2 linked regions of the Styela clava genome follow. The protein of the gene in region 2 interacts with the protein of the main gene of each other region in a biochemical or structural test. Links are inferred from orthologs where the notes say so. Each region holds a gene or a part of one and is shown on either strand. Other genes may lie near its edges. The genes, in order: TGF-beta-activated kinase 1 and MAP3K7-binding protein 1-like and mitogen-activated protein kinase kinase kinase 7-like.

Region 1 (13,401 bases), on a different chromosome or scaffold from region 2:
TGTTTGCGAATTTTACAATTAGTGATAGTTCAGAAATTAAATATTTTAATAACGCGGAACAGTTAAGTACATAAACAACTTTTGTAGAAGGTGCATTTGTTTGACTGTCAGATTAGTGAGATGACCAATGCATAAAAACGATATTTTTTCAATAAAAACATTCTAAATTTATTATTTGATATTCCAATAAATGTTTAAGTTCAATCAACCATGTCTAGCTATGCCGCGAGGACCAATGTAAAAACCAATGTCAAAAATTTACTTTTGGAACTTCTAATTATGAAGCACATATTCTGGGTAAAGATTTATTAAATCATATTCATACACAACACTTCCAAGTCATTGCTAAAAACACTATATTGATTTCTGTAACTATCATTAAGGGTTTTAATAACCATCAGAATAAAAACACTTTTATGTAAGTGCATTGGTTCAAATTTATATAACAGCATGTTCAGGCCATTCCAAGCAAAAGTTGAATTCCATCAATTTTTTTAAAAGTGTAGTGAAAGTAATTTTTTTGTATTTTTTATATTAAATGACATTGGAATTTTATTGGACTGCATCCCTTTCATCGAAAAAGTTGAAATTTCACCTAGGTTTTTGATGGTTTTTAAAAAATGGCCTAAAATGTAGAAATTGTGGTATAATTGGCATATTTTGTGATGATTCGTGACACAAAGTGTTTGATTGTGTGATAAATTTTTTTCATATGAAATGGACTCACTGAATTTAAGTTAATAAAGTTTAAATGTTTGCAGTGCTGTAGGAAATTTCTTCGCCTATTTAACAATTTATTACCAGAATTTTGAGAGATGATAGAGGCCGCTGTTCCGAAGTGGAAAAATGTCTTGTGGTGTATCGTCCTGTAGTGTCACATACAAAATGCAAATTATTGGCATGGATTTACACTGTTACATTAGGTGAATTGAGCTACACATAGAGCTCCTTCAGCTACTGCACCAGAAAATATTATGGGCTCCTGCTGTACCATCGCAAAAAATTACAGCATAAGTACTGTTAGTGCAAGGTGGATTTGCTGTCCTGTGTTGTCACACTATATTTTACGTTATTTTTTATATCCACTAAGTATGTCTTGGTTTTAACTTTTGTGCAATTTTTTTTTTACATATTCAATAAAGCAACTGATTGGACAATAAAACAAAACATGTAGCTGAAAATGTAAAAATATATTGCATCTAACAACATGAAAAATTTCTGGAATTGTCTTGTAGTGTCACTTGGAATAGCCCGTTCAAAGTCCACATACAAAAAAAATTTTGAAATTCATGTGCATAAAAATGAGTCACCTATAGACTGAAAACTTTGTTTCTGAGCACATCGGTAAACACTACTCTCTAGTTATTGAAATACAACTTGATCTAATATGAGACAGGACTAAATTATGAGTGATTGCAACTAGAAATGTTTGCAATGTAGACAAATAAACTGTAACATATTTCATTACTAAGCGAGATGGCTAAAGCGTCCGGATTAACTATAATGACATATCAGGTTAAATGGTGTGGCGCAACATGCTAAGAGCTAGAAATATGCTCGCCACAGCCCTGCGTGTTCGCAGGTTCAAATCCCATGGATTTCTACACTCCTCGCCACCGTAGGTTGGTTCACGTAACTGCTGATCGGTTACACCTTCCTCCCCTATCAGGTCCATGCTTCCGGAAACAAACACCTGGCTAACTAATCCCATACCCGACATGGAACGGTAACCGGATAAGAGGCCGTGGTTCGCCATATGATTAAGCTGTCCTATCGGCTTTCTTCTTGTTTTTTTTTTATTCACCATAGGTCGAATCGAAGGTCAATCATATGATTGAGCCGTCTTATCAACTTTCCTTTCTCACAGGTGAAATATGTAAATCCTGTCCTAAGTTTATCAATCATTCTTATCCCCTCACTGAGAGTCTAATACAGGGGTTCCCAAACCAGGGGTCGCGACCCCAAATTGGGTCGGAGTGATAATTAGGTAGGGTTGCAAACAGGTCATGGAGTCGGTGGGGTCGCTGAGGTATGGTAGAGGATGGATGTACAAATCATCTAAGATTAGACAAACCATGTTAAATTTAGCAGTTTGTAGTTTGTACCATGGCTTACTGTAAAACAGGCCCATAAGCATCGCTCTATGCTTATGCTATAGAAAATGTACAAGCTTATTGATACCACCACATGACCAAACTCAAAAGTCCAGTGAAAGAAGCTCAAATTTTCATTAAAATCTAGGCTTCTGGTCCGAGATATGATGAATGCAAATGCAAAATCTGGAGCAGATTCAATCTCGCTTTATCGCGTGCATCTAACAGACATACATACAGACAAATACCAATCATCATACTTAGCGATTAAAATCGATAAGTAATAACATCAGACAATCCCATGCAGCTACGGCCACCCAAGGTGTAATAAATTAGATAAGAAATGCCAAACCAAATAAAATTATTTTCTTCCCAAAATCTAGTAACTCCTTATACAGAGTGAAATGCGCAAAAACTATGAATAGAAAAAGTAAGGGAACCCGCTGGAGGCCCCAATTAAATGTCTTTCTGTGTCAAAATCAAAGAGAATCTGGAATAAATTTCAAAAGTTACTAAGTGACTTTTACCATGAATAATGTACAACAAAATGTAAACCTATTGAAATATTAATTTGAATGTACAGCATGGCAGAATTACTTCAGACTATAGAACCATGATGAGAATATTCAGATATTTAGAATGATGAACACGGCCAGTTGAAAAATCTGGAAAAGAACCCATGTCCAGTATGTCGAAAAAGTCGCTAATTGGCAATAAAATAGATCTGACATATAGGCAAACTTTGGCCCATGGGCTAAATCCGGCCGACTGGGTAATTCGATTTGGCCCGCCTGACGCTGCCAAAACCAAATTTTGATGTTTTAGCTCAAGGAATTTGTTGAGATAGCGATAAAATTAAGTTTTCCACTTTCAGTTTTGAAACACTGTAAATATTGTTCATGAAATGTAACTTCCATGTCACTCTCATTATGATGCCCTGGTCCGAAAACCTTGCCCACTACTAAATTACCGTAGTAGATTATAGGTTTTGAAAAATTTTGTGACAAATATTTAAATGAGAATATCGGTCGGAGACCGAAGACTTATCGATCGAAACTGCGGATTCGATTCATGACTCTATAGTGATACTGCGTGTCCCATCACTAATTAATTGATAACTCGCTAATTATACGACAGAATTCATTCATAATCAATAGGCTTCTGGTCCGAGATATGATGAATGCACATGCAAAATTTGGAGCAGATTCAACCACACCTTCTTGAGATATTGCATGCATGTAACAGACAGACAGACAGACAGACAAATACCTATCAACATACTTACCGATCTAAAGATCAATAAGTAATGATTATAACTGCCTGTATTACTAAAGAACCCATATAGAACTATCTATATTCATAATCATGATACATCTCGGCCATTGGTCACACATAACTGGTTCAACATAAAAATGCTGAAATATGCGTCATCCAATAAACAATAAATTCATTGAATCTGCTAAATATAACAATGACAAGGACTTCAATAAACATGAGTCATCACTACATGGTCAACTAGCAAACAAAGCTATTGAAGAACCAACCAATGCAAAGATAGTTGGATTTGGCATTTCAAAATTATTTCGATTTTAATAAAACATTCAACTTCACTCCTGAAATCTTGCACCAGACAGACAGAGTACAAAATATCTCAAATGATTTACATATTTGAATATAGAATGACTGCATTTTTTTGACTGTCATATAACCACTGATTGAAATAATAATTTTTGAATAAAATCAATTTGAATTATAAAAATTTGATATTTCTATTCAAAAAAGCTTTACAGAACAAAACAACAACGTACAAATTTTACTAACAGTTGAGGTTGCGTGAAACTAACTACCTTTCCTTGCTCTCTATGCCTTTGCGCAGGTGGATCCGTATGTGTATTACGTTAGGATGCTGTAGCAAGAGTGTAAATGGCTATTCTATTCAATTCATGAGACTTGCTGCACTCATTTTAAACATCTTTACCAACCTGAAATTGAAAGAAAAGTCGGCATACTGATGAGCTTCCATTGTTTTACCATCCTGAAGATAGACAACGTTCGGAGCTATTCCAATATCCGACAAATTACAGACTGGTAAATCATCCGTCCAACTAACACCAGATCGATTAAGCATTCTACGATGAACGCTGGGCGATGACGAACTCGTGGACGAATGTGTACTTCCCTGTGGAGGCCGTAAAGGCGCAGCAGTCGCCATCTTTTAGATTTTAACTGTAATCGCAAAATAAAGAGTGTTCCTATTTTAAAAATTTATTCCAACTTCGGAAGTTGATTTATTTACTGGTCTAGTAGTCTATAATATGGGTAGGATTTACATATTTATCATAGGGACGAGCACACCCTATAAAAAGTTTAATAATATGGCAACCCACAGTCTCTCGTCGGGCTACCTGTCCATGTCAGGTATGGGATTGGTTAGCCAGTTATTTTATTTCGGAAGCATGTAATTGATCGTGGAGAGGGGTTATGGAACCACCCTCCGGCAATGTCAGTACGGCACACTATACAAATCGGGTGACATTGTCCCGTTTCAGAAAAACCCTACTTTTAGATGATCAGACCCCTCCTTCGGGAGACATCTGGACATTGTTGTCCCTCAATATTAGTAATAATACAGTATGATGAAGTTGCGCAAAATACTACAAAAAAGCGCAATCTAGTATCGTCATCATTGAATTCCTTGAGAAAAAATAATCTGATTTACCAAAGAAAAATTTTTTTTCGTAGCATTCGAGAGTTTTTAGCAAAAAACAACAATTTTGGTCATGTGACGGCCGCGATTAATTTAGATTATTATTGAGACAAGCATGGCGCAATATGAAGCATCTGTCGTGGTCCCAGACGCCCCTCGTTTATGAGACACATGGAGTGTTTGTTTTATTGAGGCAAATTCTTGGAATTTGGATAGTGTGCTGTACTGGATGTGGAGTCCAGCAATCCTCTCGCACATAATTAACCCTGCATGAGATTTGAACCTGCAAACCCAATCAGGATAACCAGAGATGCGGTGGTCAGCATATTCCTGAAGATTAGCACGATGCGTCAATATGTAGTGCCCCTTCAAATTGAGATGATAAAGAGATATTTACCCAGAGCTGGAGCCGCAGGGTCACTGTGTTTAATGCAGCTCCTCCTAATAGTTGGATCTGGCGCTGCCAAAAATGGTGGCTTATGAATGTTTTTAATATTTACTTTTCAACATTAATTTGAAAAGTTCAAATTAAATTTGTATAATTCATAGTTCACAGTTTTATAATAAGTTTGAAAACTTTACGTCTCACTGCTGTATTTTGGCTAATGTCTGAATGTTTCATAGCAATGGTTATAACGAAAACATCATTGGCAATCAGAAGGACACAGTTCTTCGATTCCAAGATTGCCAGACTATTTGTTCAATTAAACAAATACTCTATTTGATCCTGAAACGAGTGAGTCTGGCATGATGGCGGATGCGTCAGATTGCACCATGCTCGTCTCGATAATGATCTAAATTGAACGTGGCCGTCACAAGACCAAAATTGTGTTCATTTTGCTGAAAACGCTCGTGTGCATATTTATGCAGCATGTTTGCATGTATATTTACTTGCATTAAACCTTTATAGAGGTTTTGCCAGTTCCCCCAATTTTCCTAATCTTCTGTGCATTCATTGTTTGGTTTTTGTGTATGATATTTTTTACGAGAAAACCAAAATATATTTATATGCTACTGTAAAAAATTTTTCATCAATACATTTTTTTATGAGGAATCCTATGGTGAGGTTTTAGATTGTGCTTTCTTTTAGTTTATTGCGCAGAACTGGTTTGCCAAATTACTGAAATATGCCTATTTATGGGGCCCAAACTGTCTCGTAAACCAGAGGTTTGCACTCACCGTTTTATCCTAATTTATGTATTTCAATGTGGGGACCATTCTTGAAATTGGAGAACCGTACAGCTGTACAGGCTATAGACAGATAGAGGCCTAATTTTATAAATACAGAAATAGAAGCCATAGTGGATCAAAAAACGTCGCAGTTCAGTAGCTCGTAGTCTAGTCTAGTACCGGTAGCAGTCTATACTGAATAACTTTTTATTGTTTGCTATTTCCGTATTTTTTTTCTGGTTTACGAAAAATAAATTTCTCTCTCTCTCGTATCCTTATCTAGGACTATCGGTACTGCACTAGTGCACTATATATTTTATGTTAATTCACAATAAATTTTTTTTCAAATACAGACATAAGTAAACGTTAGCACCTAATCTGGGAATCAGCTGAGCATTAAAGGGCGGCCCGTTCGACGGCAAAACAAGTGCAAAAACAATGTTCTCGATGACCGGAGTCTATAGCCGTATTTACATAACACAAATGGGACAGACATAAAATATACTTGAGACTTGAAATGAAAAATTAATTGCATAACATAAATAACAGTTTACCAATAATATGAATAATAACAACCAAGAATCTAATAATTATTTTTTATTTAATATTTCTAAATTTTATACTCAGTCAAAACCGGATTTAAAATAACGACTTGCGTAATCTACATAAAAAAAAAACATTTGTAAATTTTTGTACCTAAAAATTTTATTTTTGATAATTCCAAATGAGAGTTAAGAAACGATTAGGCTTATTCGACCAAGAAAATCCCAAACAAGCCCATGCAACTGGAACAAATATCTGGCTAACTGATCTCCTACCCTGCATAAACTGGTCGTAATCTGACGGGGGGCCGTGGTACACCAGATAAGGAATTAGGCTCCCCCCCCCCCCCTGCAAAAAATATCAAACTAATCAATCATGCTAATGCTCAAAACAGATAGGTGTTGTGGCATTTCGAAGTTTAATTTGAATTTTTGTTGTTCTTTTTGTATGATTGTGTCTAATTACTAAGTAAGCATTTAGGTAATATTCCATAGTCATTGTGGCATCTGTAGTTTATTTCTTATTCTTTTTATTGTTATTAATCATATTATTGTGTCTAATTAGGTAAATGTTTAATATTGGGTTCTTCCGTTGCTATATTTGCTGCTTCAAAGTGTCGTTGACTGGTTGACTTGTGGACTGATGAGTTTTTCGCGACACCTCGTCCACTGCAACAAGCCGATATCTGTTTCTGTAATTTGTTTCATGCATTTTATTTATTTCATATTGTTTATTAGTTTTCCACGACGTAAATGAATATGAAGGTAGATATTCGGATATGAACCTTCACAGGGAAATATAGAAATGAAGAAGATCTGCTATAAAATCCTACGGTTATGCATTTATTTTAGTATATTAGAAACTGATCGACCATAGGCTACTTTACATTGATTAGATTATATTTCATCATAATCCGGAAAAATATGGCGTGTGGCTTTGACGCAGATACTGAGCGAATAGAAAGGTACATCGCACGCGCAATTTACTGCGTTTCATTTTTAGTGCATTAGGCGGGATGGCATGTTTTACCTGTCACTGGGCAAAACTTGTCGGGTTTTTCGTTTTATTACCAGTTTGTATAATATCGTTTTATTCTGTAAAAGAACATAACGCCGCGCCAATTTCAAGATTTTTCGTGAGATGTTTATTAAATTTAGAAACAGTAAACCAGATATAGGGCGGTCAGTTAGCACAAGAGGTAAAAAATGATCAAATCGATGAATCGTCTTCCAGTCTTTGTATTCCTTTACTGACAGTCAGAATTGGGGTTTACGGATTCGCTCTTTTAATTATCTAACGCACATTATCGACAATGATTGCAGAATTACTGTTCCTTTTTTTTATAAAAAGAACTAAACTGAACCACGATTAGAAACAGGATATCATATTATTTTCCAAATCCGCACATTTAAGAGTTACAGGAGCGCACACTATAGTCCCAGTTGAACGACTTAGCATACATTAAAACGTGAATACACCTGCTTCGAATCAACGCAGTATGTTTAAAGTAATAATTATTTCGGGGTAATTAGTTTTGTCGTGGGCTGCTAAGCGTGACGTTGTTAAATAACCAAGTTTCTGGCCAGCTCGGTCCTTGTAAGTGACGGTGGCGCAGGAGAAACGCAGAGACGTTGTCAAACATCAGGTCAGGCACGAGCGCAGGTTCGAAACTCACGGGGTGGATCGAGTTGTAGCAGAGGGCCAGCAGACAGGTTAGCCAGGTGGTCGAGAAAAGAAAGGACAGACGGGCTGTGAGCCGTAGAAGAGGAGACCAGCAGATGCGCAGAGCAAAGAGATAGCATACCCAGCCGCAGGATAGGGAGGAAGAACCAGCGGGCCCGTCGATGAAGGAGATAGCAGACAAAGCCGCAGGATAGCACCGCCAGACAAGACAGGCAGGTCGTCAAGAAAAGAAAAGGCAGACCGAGCTGCAGTAGAGGACCAGCACGTGCACCGAGGAAAGAAAGGGCAGCAGACCCAGCCACCAGGATATGCTCAGCAGACAAGACGAGAGGAAAGGCGGCCGAGAAAAGAAATGGCAGGCAGGCTGATCCGCACAAGAGAGGAGCGCCGAGCAAGGGACGCTACCAGCAGACTGGTCGAGGAGAGAGGAAATAGGCCCGACCAGCAGGCAAAGGACCAGAAGGAAAGTTGGTCACGAAATGGTACAATCGTGCTGCCGGAGTGCAAGCAAGAAAATATTATGCAAAAAATATAATACAATTCAGGTGTCGCTGCCTGAAGACATTATGAGAACACCTGAAATGTGTTTTTAGAATGTGACGATGAAAAGAAGAAACGACGTGCGTAGCAAGCAAGCGTGGGGTGAATAAAAAATATAAATTATATATATATAAGGTGAGAAAAACAACGAAGCCCCAGAGCAGTCGAAGAAAAATTGAAACTTCAAATTTCCGTCCAATCTCATCGCTTCTTTTAAGCAAGAAGTTTCGAATAACGAACGCCAGCCGAGAACAACCGTTTGAAGTGTTTCTCACAACAATACCGAAACTTACTTACTTATTTAATTCCAGACGGAAAACTAATTCTAGTTATCGAGCAGCGACACGTAAGCTTCTAATATCTAGTTAAAAAGATCGGGTAATTTAATTATAGAAATAGTATTACTGAACACCAATGTTTTTTCATACTCCATAACTCAGCAATTTTAAAAGCATTCGCACCTTGAATATCGCTGCTTAGTCAACATGTTTTGGGTTTCCTGCGGCTTTTCTTCCCCACTAAAACTGTAAGTGCTATTTTCTGGTTATTTGTACACAATTTGTTTTGTACTGGTTGAAACTTACTTGATTCGGGGAGAGATGCGAGGAGGAAAGGGTGCCTGCCATGTGTGTCAGCCTCACACAAACCAACAAATAAAATATTGGAAAATAATTTTTTACTTGAATTACCAGTGGTAATAGTACATCTCCATACAATAGGCTCCATACAGCTATTCTTTGGATGTATGTTTGCCCATATGCTAAAACAATTTTATTGAATAACGTAGTAATCTTACGTGTGTTGAACATATTGTTGTTTGTATTGTTGTTGCGACTGGCTGTAGGCCCTACTTTGTTTCAGTGCTATCTCACCGCACATTGTGCGGTGGTGGTTATGATATATTATAATACCGAACAGCGTAGTAACATTGCGTATACTTCAATATGGTTAATACTTTTGCGAAATAACTACGAAGATATCCAAGAATTTTCAGTTTAGCGAGGACTTATTCGCCAAGTGGTAAAAGATAAATGATTTGTTGTAAAATTTTAAAATTTTAATACTATTTGGGACTACTGCTATTCATACTCATGATATTTGACAGAGTGCTAGTCCGTGAAGTTATTAATTGAAAGAAGGCGTATAGACAACTAGTTCTCAAACGGGGCGCGCCCGCAAGTAAGACGTAGACAATTTTTTGGTGGGCGGGAAGCTAACTAAAAAATATTTGTTTGATATTCACATTTTATTATTATGGATATTAACGTTCCATTCACGTATGTTCAACCTGTTTTTCGAATAAAACATTCGCCTTGCTATCTGTTATTTGTAGCTTATTGTTAGCTAGTCACTTTGGGGGCACGCGCGAGACTTGACAAATTCTAAAAAGGGAAGCGCGGCCTAAAACTTTTTAGAACCACTGGTATTGATATTTATAGATCAAATTTTTACAATACGATTTTTGTTAAGTGATTCAAGAGTCTTGCTGCACACTAACACAAATATATTTCTGTAACGTTTCGCCCGAAACGGCGGGTCGTAATTGGCCCGCGAGCCGCGTTTTGGGAACCGCTGCAAAAGATAATTGAATGAAATTTATTAAAAGATAGCAAAGAAGAGTTGCAGAAGCTCAGAAAAAAATATTATTCATGTTCTTGAGTGCCTCAACTGAATTTTTTTTTTCGATTAAATATTTAGATTAAGTAAAGATTAGTCAACGTGCGACAACTGAAGCAATGTATTGTTTCAAAATAGCATTCTTATGGGTCGTTTTCACACTTGCCAGATGCGAAGACAGTTTGGACATTTTCGATGGTAATTACCTGTCTCCAACAGTACCTGACTCGCCCGAAGCCAGATACAACTATCTAGACGCAAATTATAAGTCTATGAAAGACTTCTTCAGCGAAATGACAAGATTAGTTGAAGCCATGCAAAGCGAAGGATCGGGAGGTTTGACTTTAATTCAATACAATGATCAGGTATTTTACGGGATATCCCCATTGGCTATGTCCCCCCGCTTAAAAAAAAATTCACATTTTACTTGAACTGCATTTCTGCAGCGTTTGCAGTAAGACACCATTTTTTAACACCATTTTGCTCTATTCCCTAACAATTTGCTGAAAACCGGATGTTTCCAGGATAACTGTACATTAATCCTTCCCCCTAATGAACGAAACGAAATATTAGTGGATTGGTACGCTGTTCTAAGTTTGCTTGCTAAGCGGTGTTATTGTTTGTTTTCATTAAACTGATGTTTCATTAAACTTGATGTTTCTATCAAGCTGGATGCTTGTATAGTTCATTAGTCAGTGTCAGGGACACAACATTCCAAGCAAAAGACACGAGTAAGCGTCTAATAACGTCGTTATACAAAACAAAATTGCCCCCAAAATTCAAATTGTGGGCTGGCTACGCTCTTGGATGTTCCATACCTTCCTTCTTAATGAATCTCTGGACAAATGGTAAAAAAACAGGATCGATAGAAAAAACATGAAATTGTTAAAACAACAGCTTTCCCCAATAAGTTATCTATTCAGCACGTCACTGTATTTGCAGAATCTTGCTGAACGTTGCGAAGTTCAAGGCCAATTCTGGATACTATATTTGCAGAGAAAAAGTAGTTCAATCTGAATAACATCGATTAAAAAACGACTTCGACATCCTGTTACCCATTTGACTGGATTTTTAGCGCAAAAAAACAGACATTTAGGCACGGAGAAAGCACAATTTTAGCTTATGATCATGTATGCGCCTCGAGTGCGAAATTTCCTATTAGTGGTATTACACTTTTGGTTTTATTTTGCCGTTTTTCAATTTATCAAATATATTTCAGGGGGTTCATCAACATTTGTCACGAGTGAGTATTTTATAGTTTCATTGCATTGTTCAATAATCAGTTGAAATATTTAACGACTATGGAATTTTTGATCAAGACCACCGTCTGCACATAAACTTACTTTGCAACAGAGATGCTAATGCAATCTTCTTTATACAATGCAAGGTTCAAGCCAACGAGTTATTCTCCGGCATAAATCTTTAAATCCAATCTTAAAGAGCTTCACATCAGACTTCTAAAGAGCTACTCCGTGCATCTCTAGGCCTGTTTTTCTGACCAGGTCACGTCAAACGTTACTTATCGGTAACTTTTAATTTTAGGTTCCGGAGTTGAGCTTGATCCATCAACGCCAGGTAATAATGTTATAAATTTGTTTGTAAATAATTTAGGGATATTTTACTTTCCTGGCATCATATAAAGATGACCGTAGCCTAGCGGCTAGAGTAGTGGTTCCACAACGTGGCAGCGCATTTATCACCAATAAAAGTTTTAAATATTATTACATTTGACAAAATTAATGTTACATGTTTCAACGACGGTACGTCAATTCTAAGAAGTTGTCCTCGGTTTTGTTTTCAATTTCCATCACAGCAAAAAATGCAATTTTGCAGCCGCAAAGGTACAAACGAGAATATCGGTCAGAGACCGAAGACTTCTCGATCGAAAGTTAGGGGATCCCCCAAAACAGCGCTCTTACTCCATAGTGACACCTTGTTTCCCATCACTAAATAATTAATAACTCTCTAATTATACGACATAATTCGCCCAAAATCAATAGGCTTCTGGTCCGCTTTCGTGAGATATCGCGTGCATCTAACAGACAAACAAACAGACATACAGACAGACAAATACCTATCAACGTACTTACCGATTGAAATCGATAAGTAAAAACCTGTACAGAATGTAATTCTCTTCATATCAACATTCAGCTAGAGCGTTAGACTTGACTTTTCAGCATTGCAGCCGAACCGGAAAGGTTTCGTCCTTCCAGACAACATATTTTGACTTCTGTCTAGCGTATGGTCTTGCGTATGGAATCAAAATTCAGTTTTATTAATTTCAGGGGGATTGTTGGGAATCTCACAAGAAATACAAAATATTGATGGTAAGTATATATTTACTTTTAAGACACCCTGTATTGTTGCCAAAAAGATGTAAGTGAATAACAGGTAAACAAAACCTGATATAATTCAAGTTAACTCTGTTAGGAAAAATACGGATGGGAGGGAATAACCTAAAGCCGTCCCATAGGAGAAAAGTTCTGTTTGAATAGTCTTTCTGCTAGTTTCAAAATCTGTCCTTAAAGTTGAAGTTATCGTAACAGAACGAAATATATTCCAGGTTAGAACAGGATTGAAACTTTAAGTAAAAAGTTGAAGAGAATTCTGAAATGGCCTATTTTCATTGAATTCAACATGCTATTCACACCCAGAAATGAAATACTTTTGAATTTATAGGTATATTCCACATTCGCTACACCATAAACATACATATAAAATATATATACTGTATTTTTTAATTTGAACAGCACGACGCACTCTAACGGACAACTCGATTAGGAACATACTGAATGTTGAGAAGAAACTGTTTGGAATTACAAAATAACTTTTCTTGTTTAAAAAAAATACTGAAATAAAATCGAGTTGGAAAAAGAAGTATTATTTTTGTGTCAGTGTTCCATCTTGACAAGGCATTTGGGATCTTTTGTACAATATCTCGTCAAAAAACACCCCCGCTCAAAAAAAACAAGAAAAAAAAAACAGTAGTTATCTAGATAGGGTTAGAAATGTAGATTGCGATGGAAACTGAAATCTTTCCTCACCCTT
Region 2 (13,002 bases):
ACCAAATAAATTTAAGTCCTTCCAAAATAAACTCCTTATGTCTCAGTGTCAGGGGTGTGTAAAAAGCAAAGTTGAGAGATTGTTCCATGGGAAACACTGTGAATAAAATCAAACCTTTGGTTTAAAAACAAAGCCCACCACTTCACCCCGAGTTTAATTAATAATGATCCCAGTCCTTAGTAACCAGTGAGATACAGTGGTTGCCCCTTCATTCAGGGTAAAGTTTGATGTATATCTATTGAGAAAAACATATAAAACAGATCTTACGTGTGGGGTCTGGTAGAGGGGATCCTGATGATGCCAATTGCTCCTGGAAATATTTTTCAATTTAAAATTATTAATAATCGAGCAGAGATAACCATAATCTTAATACCAATGCATTCTTGATAATACAATGTAAACTCTACCTATGAAAGACTCTGGATACGAAAAATCCAACTTACAAAAATTATTTTCGTAAAAATATTGCTTCGACTAATCTAAGTTTTTTCTACGGAAGGCCGAAAAAGGGAAAAGTTAGAAAACGTGTGTAGTGAATAGTGATATTCGTTTGTTCTAGGTTATTTTAATACAGGGATGTTCAAATCGAATTTAATATTCGCGACCTCAGAATATTGTTTTTCGTGTTTAAAAGAATACCGAATATGATGCACATATCCTAACACCGTCGTCCACGTTTTGATTTGAAAACCTTTTATAATTATTTTATTTTTTATCGCAATCGAAGGCAGCCTGAACATATTCTGAAAGGGGTCATGTCCAAGAAAGGAGCACATAGAAGTCAATGTATATTTGATAGCTTGAATTTAGAAAAGCAGGAAAGTTAAGATAAAGAGTTCCCTGTATTCTTAGGGTTTCAGAACTAAGCTTTGTGAGACTGCTCAATATTATTATTATTATTATCCAAATAATCAAAGAATTAAAATGAAAAAAAATACAAACAATTCAATTCATTTTGGCGTACTACTTCAGGGTGTTAAAAAAAGTTACGCAAAATTAAGGAACAATTTTTCGTCATGGCAACGTTAAAAAACTAACTGTTGAAAAGTGTCAGACATGAAATGTTTAAATGGCATTTCACTGTAATTCAATACTGTTAAAAGGTTACAGGTTAAATGTTTTAAGAAGCATTTCATCTTAACTTCTGTTAATTTTGCGTTACTTTTTTAACACCCTGTTTTTAAATGTATCTTCATATCGCAGAAGTAGAACTAAATTTGCTTATGTCACATTTTAAAGTTTCGAGGAAATCTTTTGTAATTTTCAGAACTGTAAAGTCAAACACGAAAATGGACACAAAGCGCTGCCTAAAATAAAAACTAAAACAGGTATAGCTTTGAAACTTGGACCAAAAGATGGTCGGTCCTTGGTCCATCATGACAGAAGATCAAAAAAGCCAATTTCTGAAAATGTGACATAAGCTCCTTAGGTTTTGCTGTGGCAATACGATTAAGTTATATCAGCTTTTTATATCCAAAATAAAAATTCATTCATCTCACCTGTCTTTGTATATTAGGCACAGATTGTGATGTCACCATTGGTGGTCTATCATGATTGGTCATATTAGGATTTGTAATGTGTGTCTTCCTCAGGGTGTCGCTGATTGTACTGTATGTTGTTCCATACCCTCTGAATAATAAGGACATAAATTAAATAAAGCAGAGCAAAATTACCTGCCTAACAGGATACTTGAACAAGATGTAGTCGACAAAATTGCAGGATTCCACATAATAAATGTTGTATCGAACCTTTATTGGACTGCTTAGTGTTAGTAAAATAGGATTTACATAATTATCCTTGGAAAGAGGGAAGATAAGACAGCGTAATCATATGGCGAACCACGGCCTCTTGTCCGGTTACCAATGTCGGGTATGGGAATAGGTATTCAGTTATTTTTCTATATCTTATCAAACATCCTTGTGACACAGGTCCATATCTAGCAGTACAAGAAACATGGAATGTAGAATAGACGGTTTGTCACATGGCGCTGAGCACATTTAAATAAAAATGCTAATATTTGTGGGCTAGTCGGCATAGCGCAGTGGCACCCAACAAATTTCACCCAAGCTATTCACCATCTTTTTTTGTCCCCTGAGATAAATATGAGATCAAATTATATATAGAAATATTCAGTGTTCACCTGTCACTGCCGGTTTCATAATAATCAGACTCTTCATCACTGTCAGAGTATTGTGGAAATACAAGGGGAACATCAGAACCACGGAAATACGGCATCAATTCTGTCATTGCATATACAACATCATTCATACTTGGACGGGAACTCGGATTTTTTGACCAACATCTGGAACAAGAAATAATATTAGGTTTTCATTGAATTTAAAAAAGACTCAACTAAAGCTGAATAGTATGGAAAACATCTTGTAGCCAGATATTTTGATTTCTGTACCTAAAAATCCTGAAAAATGGATTCTACATAAAATGTTTTCTATGGTTTACTAGAGCAGGGCTGTGGTGTCAAAGATAATTTACCATCAACCAAGACTTGAGAAAAAATATCTTCTCTTGAACTTGACTCGGAGAAAATCAAACTTTGGTGACAAACACATTGAAATATCCAAACCTTTATTGATAGACTGTTGTCAGGACCACATAGTAAACTTAATGCTTGAAGTTTTGTGAAAATTTATAGCAAACTCGCACCCACCTTGTCATTAGTTCCTCAATAGGTTTTGGGCATCCCTGTATTAATGGCGGCCTCGTACCGGTATGAACTGCCCACATGATGCGAAATGCTGGACCTCCCAACTCATCAAATGGTTTTCTTCGAGTTAAGACCTGTCAACAATGTTGTATATTAGAAAAAACTTAAAGAGAAAGAATATATCATAACCATGGGCACAATATCCGAGTAGTTAGAGCACCCGATTTTACACGTTGGCACAGCAGAACTAGTCAGATCTTGGTCCTTATAAAACTAATAAATTCTCATTCCCAGTTGCTGAATGTACATTGCATTGTTTGAATTGAAGCTTAGAAAACGACTTTTAAACTCTCCCTATACTTATTCAAACTGTGGCACAAAAAAAAGAGCAAAATCCAAATTCTACCTCCCAGAGTATGATTCCCCAGCTGAAGACATCACATCTCTCACTGTATTGACATCCTTCAAATACTTCAGGAGCCATCCATGCCGCTGAACCCTGTGCAAAAGAATGGTTTGATACTTTTAATTTTTTTATGAATGAAATTAAGGGCACTCACTCAGAAATTAAAAAGACGCATTTCTGAGCAAAGTTATGAGCACACACTCAGAAGTATTGAGAATCATCTATGAGCAAAGTTATGGGCACTCACTCACTCAGAAGCAAAGAAGACTCATCTCTGAGCAAAGTTATGAGCACTCACTCAGAAGTAAATGAGAATCATCTATGAGCAAAGTTACGTGCACTCACTCACTCAGAAGCAAAGAAGACTCATCTCTGAGCAAAGTTATAGGCACTCACTCACTCAGAAGCAAAGAAGACTCATCTCTGAGCAAAGTTATGGGCACTTACTCAGAAGTAAATGAGAATCCTCTCTGAGCAAAGTTACGTGCACTAAGTTATGTGTCAGAAGTAAATGAGAATCATCTCTAGACAAAGATACACTCGCTCACTCCAAAGTAAAAGTGACTCAGCTCTGAGCAAGTTTTAAGATTTTATGGTAAATTGTTATTGGTTTGGCTGCGATGTGAAACTGGAAAGCTGACAACATCGCTTGCTTATTACCAGTTGCGCACAGATTACTATGACTAGGCTTCCTCTCATATTTCCCTCACAATGGGGATAAACACAAAACCCATCTCATAATGAAAATACATGAATCCCTACCTTGTTATTAGTCATCTGTGTGTGAATGTCACAGGCAGTGCCAAAGTCACAGATCTTCAGAACGAGTCCTTGGTTCGTCAGAAGTAAACTGAACAGTAAAATAATAGGATTCAAAGCTGTTTGAAAGGATTTTCTCAAGTTGGAGTATGCGGCCTAAATCAGTGATTCTCGAACATTACAGCACCTCATTCATCGTCATCACTCGGAGAAATAATTAGAAAAAAAAAATATCTTACTTTGGGGGTTTCAGGTCTCTATGTATCAGAGCTTTTGGTTTCATATTATGAAGATAAGCGACACCTTTTGCACATTGTAAACACCAACTCATCCCATGGCCCCCGGTGTAGTGGGGGAGAGGCCCTGCCCCATGCAGCACTGAAAAGTATAGAATTATGCTAGTTTATATAGAGGTGCCAAACATACTTTTTGCAATGAAAAATTTTATTTTTTTTATTCTACAGTAACAGGTATTTGATTGATCTATGGGCATGTAAAAAAGATCAATTGTGTCTGTGGAAGCCCATAGATTCAAACCAACAGTTAAACGAGAATATCGGTCAGAGACCGAAGACTTATCGATCGAAAGTTAGGGGATCCCCCAAAACAGCGCTCCTACTCCATAGTGACACCTTGTGTCCCATCACTAATTAATTAATAACTCGCTAATTATACAACATAATTCATCCAAAATCAATAGGCTTCTGGTACAACATATGATGAATGCACATGCAAAATCTGGAGCAGATTCAATCTCGCTTTCGTGAGATATCGCGTGTATCTTACAGACAGACAGAAAAACAGACAGACAAATACCTATCAACATACTTACCGATTAAAATCGATAGGTAACAAGCTAAAATGCTAATATAAACATTATATTATTACTTTTCAACTTTCAACGACTATAGTTTTTATGATTATGAATTTCTGATGAAAATAACGTTATATTGGCCTTGATTCTTACATCACATAAACGTTAGCCAAGCTGTTGTGAAAAACTTATTTCAATTCATAGGTTTTCATATTAAATCTTGTGCCTCGGGCCCGGTAACCAAGTCTATTGTCAATAATTGGCCCACTCAGAAAAATAGTTGTACAACCCTGGCTTGTCTATCTGGCATATTTCAATTATTACCATGGCAAACTTTTAAATGAAAAATTTAATTTTTTTTTCAAGTCTATAAAATATAAATCCCATCGAATACAGTTAATTCCAAATACTTGAATTTCCAATTTATATCTACTTTACTTACAGTCATACAGAGATCCACACTCTGCCAGTTCCATAACAAGAGACACAGGGTTACTGCAGGCACCATACAGACGAATGATATTAGGATGTGAAACTCTGGAAATAATAGTTCGATTAGGGCTGGGAATAGTCAGAATCGCAATGAAACAAACCTACTCATATCCTCACATATAAGCAGAGTTTGATACGAAAAGAAAGTTGCCAAACAAACTAAGGGGTCACCTTAAAGCCGCATAACTTTGATCGCACTAAAAACCTGGCTTGTACGCGCATAACTCTATTCGCGCTAAGCGTACGGAATGTTACGATTGGTAGGGCCGGTATATATGAGAATTTTTATAAATTCACCATTTTGAGATCGTTTTTAATGGGTCGGCTTGTATGTGAGGATATTAATGTGCATTGTGTTTATTTTGTTTCATACTGTTTTTTTCATATCTACAGCACTAAACTTGGTAATTGGTTAATAAAATCACAGGACCTATTAATCATATTAGTTATGACTTTTCGGGCACTTCAGATTTTTGATATAAACATGGCATCATTAAAGATTTATATTTCATGAGTCTGAGTCAGGGGTTTCAAAATCTTTTTTGAAATTTTGAAGATCAATTTGCGATCAAAACGAGTTGTGCAATAAAGCTAATTTACACAATAACATATAAATATAATATAAGAAACAATGTAAGTTATATAAAGTGCTGGAATAACATGCCAAATCAAACCTTGAGAGCTGCCTCAATTCTGTAATGAAGGCTCGACGTTCGTTCTCAGATTCAATCTTCTTCACAGCGACAGGATGTTGGCGATAAACAGCTTCATAAACTACGCCGAAAGCTCCTTTGCCAATCGTCTGAAAAGTAAAGATGAAACGGAATATGAAGATGCGGATGGACACCATAATGTACAGTTCTCTGATTAAAAGAATAGCCCGCACATGAAAGACATCAATTACAACAGTGAGTGCAAACTCTTCCCTTACGAGACAGGCTGGGCCTCCATATCGAATCAAAACACAATAAACTAAACTAAAAGAAAGTGCAATTTAAAAACATCACCATTGGATTCCTTGAAAATATAATAATCTAATCTAATAATCTATCTGAGGAAAAAATCTTTTACCGAAGCATTCGAAAGTTTTTAGCAAGTAAAAGCAATTTTGGTCACAAATTATTACCAAGACAAGCTCAACACAATCTGACACATGTGTTGTCGTGCCAGACATCTTCGTTTCAGGGACCAATAGAGTTTTGTTTTATTGAAGCAAAGTTCGGGACATCTTGGAATCAGGGAACTGTGCCCCACTGTGAATAATACTTTTATTTTCACATTAAAAATGATTTAGAATTTCTCAATCACAGAAATAAAGTTTTACCAACTTAGCAAACCGGGATACTCACATTCCCCAATTTCATTTCTTCATATTTTATTTCCTCAATAAATCCAGGCGGAGATTCCGCATATACGACATGAGCCATCGCTGCTCAGCTGTTCGACCTCGCTGCAACCAGTGCCACATACAAGAGAAAACCTGGACGACCCGCCACCTAAGCTGGTTCGAATGTTTATTTCTCTTTTTTACTAAGTACTTTTTACCTACGCTCCCATGTACGGTGACTGAACATCAGCAAAGAAATAGGATAAAACTCAACACAACCACACAATTTCTCCAACATATTCAAGACAAATATTTTACTTAAGATGTGAAAGGAGTCGCATTTGGTGATCAACGATTATCTTCTGATCCCAAGCGTATGAAATGGAAAATGTAGCGATAACATGAAAATTGAGAATGAATCAAGCTGATAGGATAAAATTTACATATTAAACCCTGGGAAGAGAAATGCCGATAAGACGGCTTAACCATATTGCAAACCACGGCCTCTCGTCCGGTTACTCCAACCAACCTGGCACACATACTTATTTTTTATTTCCGATGTTGCCTACTACATCAGTTCTAAATTAACTTCTTCAAAAACATTGCACGAAATTTTTCATGTTTCAGATTTTGATATGATTATGAGGATAGGATAGAATTCACATATTTATCCCTGGGGAGAGGAGAGTCGATAAGACGGCTTATCCATATGGCGAACCACGGCCTCTCCATTCGGTCCAGTTACCATTCCAAGTCGGGTATTAGATTAGTTAGTTATTGTTAATGGTTATTAGGACTTGGTGGTGGAGGAACGACCAGCGGTTACGTGAACTTTTTCATGTTTCAGATTTTGATATGATTATGAGGATAGGATAGAATTCACATATTTATCCCTGGGGAGAGGAGAGTCGATAAGACGGCTTATCCATATGGCGAACCACGGCCTCTCCATTCGGTCCAGTTACCATTCCAAGTCGGGTATTAGATTAGTTAGTTATTGTTAATGGTTATTAGGACTTGGTGGTGGAGGAACGACCAGCGGTTACGTGAACCACCCAACGACGGCGAGGAGTCAAGCAATCCTCTCGCACATAACTATCCCTGCATGGGATTCGAACCTGCGAACCCACGCAAAGTAATTAGAGGTGCAGTGGCGAGCGTATTCCTAACGCTTAGCCCGTTGAGCCACACCGCCGCGTTAGTTTGACGATTGCTAGTGTAGAATGTTGACTCTCGCTGATATGCACCGTCACTACCTTAGAAATAAATTAACCTATATTAATTAAGGCTGTTAAACGCTGTTTTTCTACGGTAAATTGAAACAAAAATCGAAACCATCCTATTTCAGAAGATTCCTTCGATATTAACGTGATGAGGGTATTACAAGCGACTGCAAGTTACGGCCCCAAAGCTAACCGCACAAAAAGGCCGAGTAGAATCCTTATTAAATCATTTTATAATTTGCTTGATCTCAATATTTCATTTACATATAGCAAATAGATTAATATCGTGCTTTTGGCGGCCCCATCCGGTATTTTATTCGAGGTACCGCAGTTTGAAATCTCATATTACACGCTTCGGTAGTTGGATATGATGTCATAATTGACATTTTTGGCGGCCGAAGCGTCTGTGAAGCGCGCCATTTCTTTACAATTTCTGGCTGTGGGTGGTCAGAAGAATTGGTGAAACGAGAATCGGTAAACTGGTATATGAAAAATTATTGTTCATATAAAGTCTTTGCAATGCAAAAAATGGGGTGTTAATCAGCTGGATATTAGCGACATAAACTCGGTATAAGAGATTTACTTCAAGAACGTTTTGCATCGTAGACTACATCGCGTGAGTGATTTCTCAGTATTTGATATAGTTTTCATGCGAGTTCCGAAGTTCTGTAGTCTGCTGTTAACTTGGGATTTATCTATTGGGCACTTAGATAGGATACCAGCATATGTTACTGCATCCTCCACCATCAAGTTCATGCACCTTGCACCTTAAAACAAGTGACCGGTCATACTATGGGGGGGACAAGGTTTATGGACTGGACCACGTAATCGCAATCTCAACAAATTCTATGAGCTATTTTTTTTTATCTAAAAAATATCAATTTGGTTTTAGTTTGGTTGTGGCAGCATCTGACGTACCAGTTTGAACTATCCAATGGGTCGTGTCATGATTATACTGATCCTATGTGATAAAGCTCGACCAATATTACTTCTTGTCGCCGATATCAATATATCGGCCAACCGGTAGCGTATAATCAATATCGCTATGCCGATATTAATATAAATCATATTTTGAGCCTCGCTTTTATGAAGCACCTCGTGAGTCTGTATTTTGATTTTTATTATCATTGCATTGAGACTTTTATTTAAATAATTCCAGTTAATGCTCGAACAAATGTTATTCTGTAACTTGTCCTGCTACTTCAATATCAGTCTAGCTATTTCCAGGAAAAAGAATTGTTAACCCTTTCCGTGCAATTTTTATTTTTTATTAAATAATCGTATTTGCTACGCCGATTTTATGCATTTGTACCCCCACAACTAATCGATCGACTAACGAAAAACTAATGATCCTCTGCTGCCCACTGACGGCTCGTTGGAAAGCTTATTTAAAGAGCTTTCAATTGGCAATTATAAAAAAAAGTTTTTCTAAAATTGGTGGTCTGAGTCACAAACCGGATAGAAAAAAGGCATTTTTTTTTCGTAGGAGTTGAAACTTCAAACCACAATAAAAAATAGAAATATTCGCTCAAAATACTTTGGTAGATGGAAGGGATAATATGTCTTCTATTACCACCCAAAAAACACCGAAATTTGCATAAATTTCAGAAACACTCTCTCGTTCCGCCGCAAATAAAATTCCCGTCGTAAACGAAAGCGAGATTTACCGTCGCTTATGTTAATCTCGAAGAAGACTTCTTATCAATAAACTAAAACCTGGAAAAACTAGACCAACAGTTTGCGACCGATTGCTAACTAAAACAGTGGAGTACATCAATGTACCCACCGCAATCTAGCGACCTTTGTCGTTGGTACGTATACGTGCCCACCGCACGGAAAGGGTTAATCTGACGTTTTTAAATATAACTGTGGACACATGTTAATAAGGGTATTAAAAAATTATAAATTGATATATTTCAAAGTGAATCGTGATAATGATAAATTTCTTCAATATTGTGATAGCATATGTTCAGTTACATGTGGAATTTTTAATAACTTTGTTTCCAGAGACTCTCAATACCTTATTTAGTCAATAATAATGAATTAGGTTTTTATTTTGTAATTTTCAGCAAAATGATAAACAACCATCAATATAAACAAAACTGCTACCCCAGAAATTCAAAATTGAATTTGGGAATGTCACAAATTCGGAACTGACATTATTGCTTTGAGATACCTGTGCCATGTTTCTATGATCACTAACTCACCAGCTTCCAATCGATTCTATTTATAGAACCACCGTTTAATGCTGTTACTAAGTTTGCCTTTCTCTCATTGTGTACTCTCTCAAAAACGTCACTTTATGAAACGTCATTGTTACAACTTTTCAGTTATGACCATGCATGAAATGGCTAATCATAAGACACCGGGAATTAGGAGAGACACCTTCATAACGCAAAATGAAAGCGAGAGGAATATTGAGAAACCAGTTACACAGGGGCGAGAGCCGTTGTGGCACGCAGCCCGGCGCTAGCCGATATATATCGGCTGATATGATATATCGGCAAACACGCAATATCGGCCCTATATATCGGTCGAGCTCTACTATGCGGTAACCAGACAAGAGACAGTGGTTCGGCATATATTTATTGACTTTGGATAGGATAGGATTTACATATTTATCCCGGGTGAGAGGAAAGCTGATAAGACGGCTTATCCATATGGCGAACCACGGCCTATCGTCCGGTTACCATTCCGAGTCGGGTATGGGATTAGTTATATTGTTTTGTTTTCGGAAGCTTTCATGCGGGTTGAATATGTACATCTCTATTCTTAAGGGAGAAGTACAGCTGTGCTTGTGTACCGGCAAGCAGGCTAGTACTGTATTGAAGAGATAAATATATATTGGCGTGGCGGTGTGGCTCATCGTGCTAAGCGTTAGGAATACGCTCGCCACCACACCTCTGATTACTCTGCGTGGGTTCGAATCCCATGCAGGGATGGTTATGTGAAAGAGGATTGCTGGACTCCTCGCCGCCATAGGGTGGTTAACGTAACCGCTGGTCGGTTATGGCTTCCTCTACCATCAAGTCCATGCTTCCGAAAACAATTAACTAACTAATCCCATACCCGACATGGAATGGTAACAGGACGAGAGGCCTCGGTTCGCCGTATGGTCAAGTCGTCCTATCAAGCCTCTTACCCAGGATAAATATGTAAATCCTAAATAAATAGGATAAACTTGTTATTTTTCAAAGTACCGGTATATTTGTTAGCTTTAGTTAGCGCTGTTTGATTAGGTCATATCATATTGTGGAACTATCAATTAGCGAAAGCTTATATATTTCGTGGAGAAAAAATATGTTTTCTAATTTGTCTGTTTTTGGTTGCTATTTTAGTTATTATTTAATTCGACCATTTTCATGTACAACGTAAATAAGCATATAACGTAAATCTGTTGCAGTTCAGAACTTTTAGTAAATTGTTAGAAATGGCATATCGGAGAAGATGCATGAATGTTCTGGGCTCATGGATAAGCATACAAAGTAGTATTCGTGTTATGTTCTGAATTGGAGTAGATATGAAACATTAGGCAAAGGGTTAGAGTAAGCATATGAAGTGGGATTCATGGTATGTTCTGGGTTAGGATAGATATAAAACTTTGGGCAAATGGTTAGTGTAAGCATATGAAGTGGGATTCATGGTATGTTCTGGGTTAGGATAGATATAAAACTTTAGGCAAATGGTTAGAGTAAGCATATGAAGTGGGATTCATGGTATGTTATGGGTTGGTATAGATATAGAACTTCATGCAAATGGTTAGAGTAAGCATATGAAGTGGGATTCATGGTATGTTATGGGTTGGTATAGATATAGAACTTCATGCAAATAGTTAGAGTAAGCATATGAAGTGGGATTCATGGTATGTTATAGGTTGGGATAGATATAAAACTTGAACCAAATGGTTAGATTAATTCTGAGTTGGATGGATATAAAACTTTAGGCAAATGGTTAGAGTAAGCATATGAAGTGGGATTCATGGTATGTTCTGGGTTAGGATAGATATAAAACGTTAAGCAAATGGTTAGAGTAAGCATATGAAGTGGGATTCATGGTATGTTCTGGGTTAGGATAGCTATAAAAACGTTAAGCAAATGGTTGGAGTAAGCATATGAAGTGGGATTCATGGTATGTTCTGGGTTAGGATAGATATAAAACGTTAAGCAAATGGTTAGAGTAAGCATATGAAGTGGAATTTATGATATGTTCTAGGTTGGGATAGATATAAGAAGTTAAGCAAATGGTTATAGTAAACATACACGGTATGTTCTAGATTTAGGACAGATGTAATACCTTAGGCCAGGGGTCACCAAACTTTTTTGACCGCGGGCCGGGTATGACTCAAACTATGTTGAAACGGGCCGGATGAATATTTTTGTCAATGCAATAAAATTGGGAAATTCATTCAACAATATAAATTCTACATTTCTGAAGACTTAAATATTAAATTCCACCTATATCGCAGAATACAGATCGAGAACATCCCATGAAAACAAATATACAAGATTTCTATATCTAGACAACTATCCTGAGTTTAGCTGTTATTAGAACGTTGCTGTCATGAATTAGGAATGTTACAAAATCTGCTTTTTCGCGCCAAAAAATGTACGCAACACGTCTGACTATTACCGTTACGCCGTGTTGGAATACCGTTCATGAAAACGACTACGGATTGCCTGCTGTATCTTGGAATTCCATGAAATTGACATAATTTAGATAAAATAAATAACTATTATCTGGTATTTGAATTTTTTCATTAGCGCATAAAATATCCCAACATTCGGAGCTTCTGAAAATTACGCTCCAGTTATACGTAGTGCAAATTAATGATAGTGTCTATGGACACCAATAAAATTTATATGGACGTGTGTATTTCGTGCCTAGCTTGATACTTACCAATTTTTATGAAGTTTGTACAATCAGAACATCGTTAATTATTACCCACAATTAACCACTGTCAAACTATCATGCACAACTCCAGCGTTTATTTGCGACGGTGGCGGTGCCAATGACCGTTGCCAGAATAGAATCCTGAAATAGTCTCAATATTCCAACGATGTGACGCACATCGAAAGATTGGTGTTTGATAAGTGTTCTTTTTTCATATTTATTACAGTTCTTATCAAAAAAGTAATACAATCCTCATGGTAATAATTGGCCTGTCGGGCGGTACTAAAACTCCGTTATTTCTTGACCGTTTTTATAAAATAATTTCTTAAACATTTTATAAAATGTTGCGTGCCGGTAGAGAATTTTAGCCTATTTTATCACAGCTATTTTTAGACTAATTTTTCATTACTATACTAATAAAAAATAAAA

The links.
Region 1: of the proteins of mitogen-activated protein kinase kinase kinase 7-like (region 2) and TGF-beta-activated kinase 1 and MAP3K7-binding protein 1-like, one has a biochemical effect on the other in vitro, tested with the Homo sapiens proteins (4 studies listed by BioGRID and IntAct). The link is inferred for Styela clava from reciprocal best matches to the Homo sapiens genes MAP3K7 and TAB1.

The regions. Positions count from the first base shown.
Region 1 is NC_135253.1:22,516,416-22,529,816, forward strand, and holds the start of TGF-beta-activated kinase 1 and MAP3K7-binding protein 1-like, read right to left. Parts: upstream 5,999-13,401; 5' UTR 5,980-5,998; intron 4,320-5,979; 5' UTR 4,306-4,319; coding exon 4,076-4,305; intron 1-4,075. Other genes in the region: uncharacterized protein LOC144421899, read left to right, coding at 10,473-10,689, 11,573-11,596, 11,896-11,928, 12,639-12,680, 13,104-13,180. UniProt on the Homo sapiens protein: Key adapter protein that plays an essential role in JNK and NF-kappa-B activation and proinflammatory cytokines production in response to stimulation with TLRs and cytokines.
Region 2 is NC_135259.1:21,782,650-21,795,651, forward strand, and holds the start of mitogen-activated protein kinase kinase kinase 7-like, read right to left. Parts: upstream 6,751-13,002; 5' UTR 6,561-6,750; coding exon 6,483-6,560; intron 5,936-6,482; coding exon 5,808-5,935; intron 5,179-5,807; coding exon 5,084-5,178; intron 4,206-5,083; coding exon 4,067-4,205; intron 3,919-4,066; coding exon 3,831-3,918; intron 3,162-3,830; coding exon 3,069-3,161; intron 2,797-3,068; coding exon 2,666-2,796; intron 2,303-2,665; coding exon 2,141-2,302; intron 1,630-2,140; coding exon 1,500-1,629; intron 311-1,499; coding exon 268-310; intron 1-267. UniProt on the Homo sapiens protein: Serine/threonine kinase which acts as an essential component of the MAP kinase signal transduction pathway. Plays an important role in the cascades of cellular responses evoked by changes in the environment.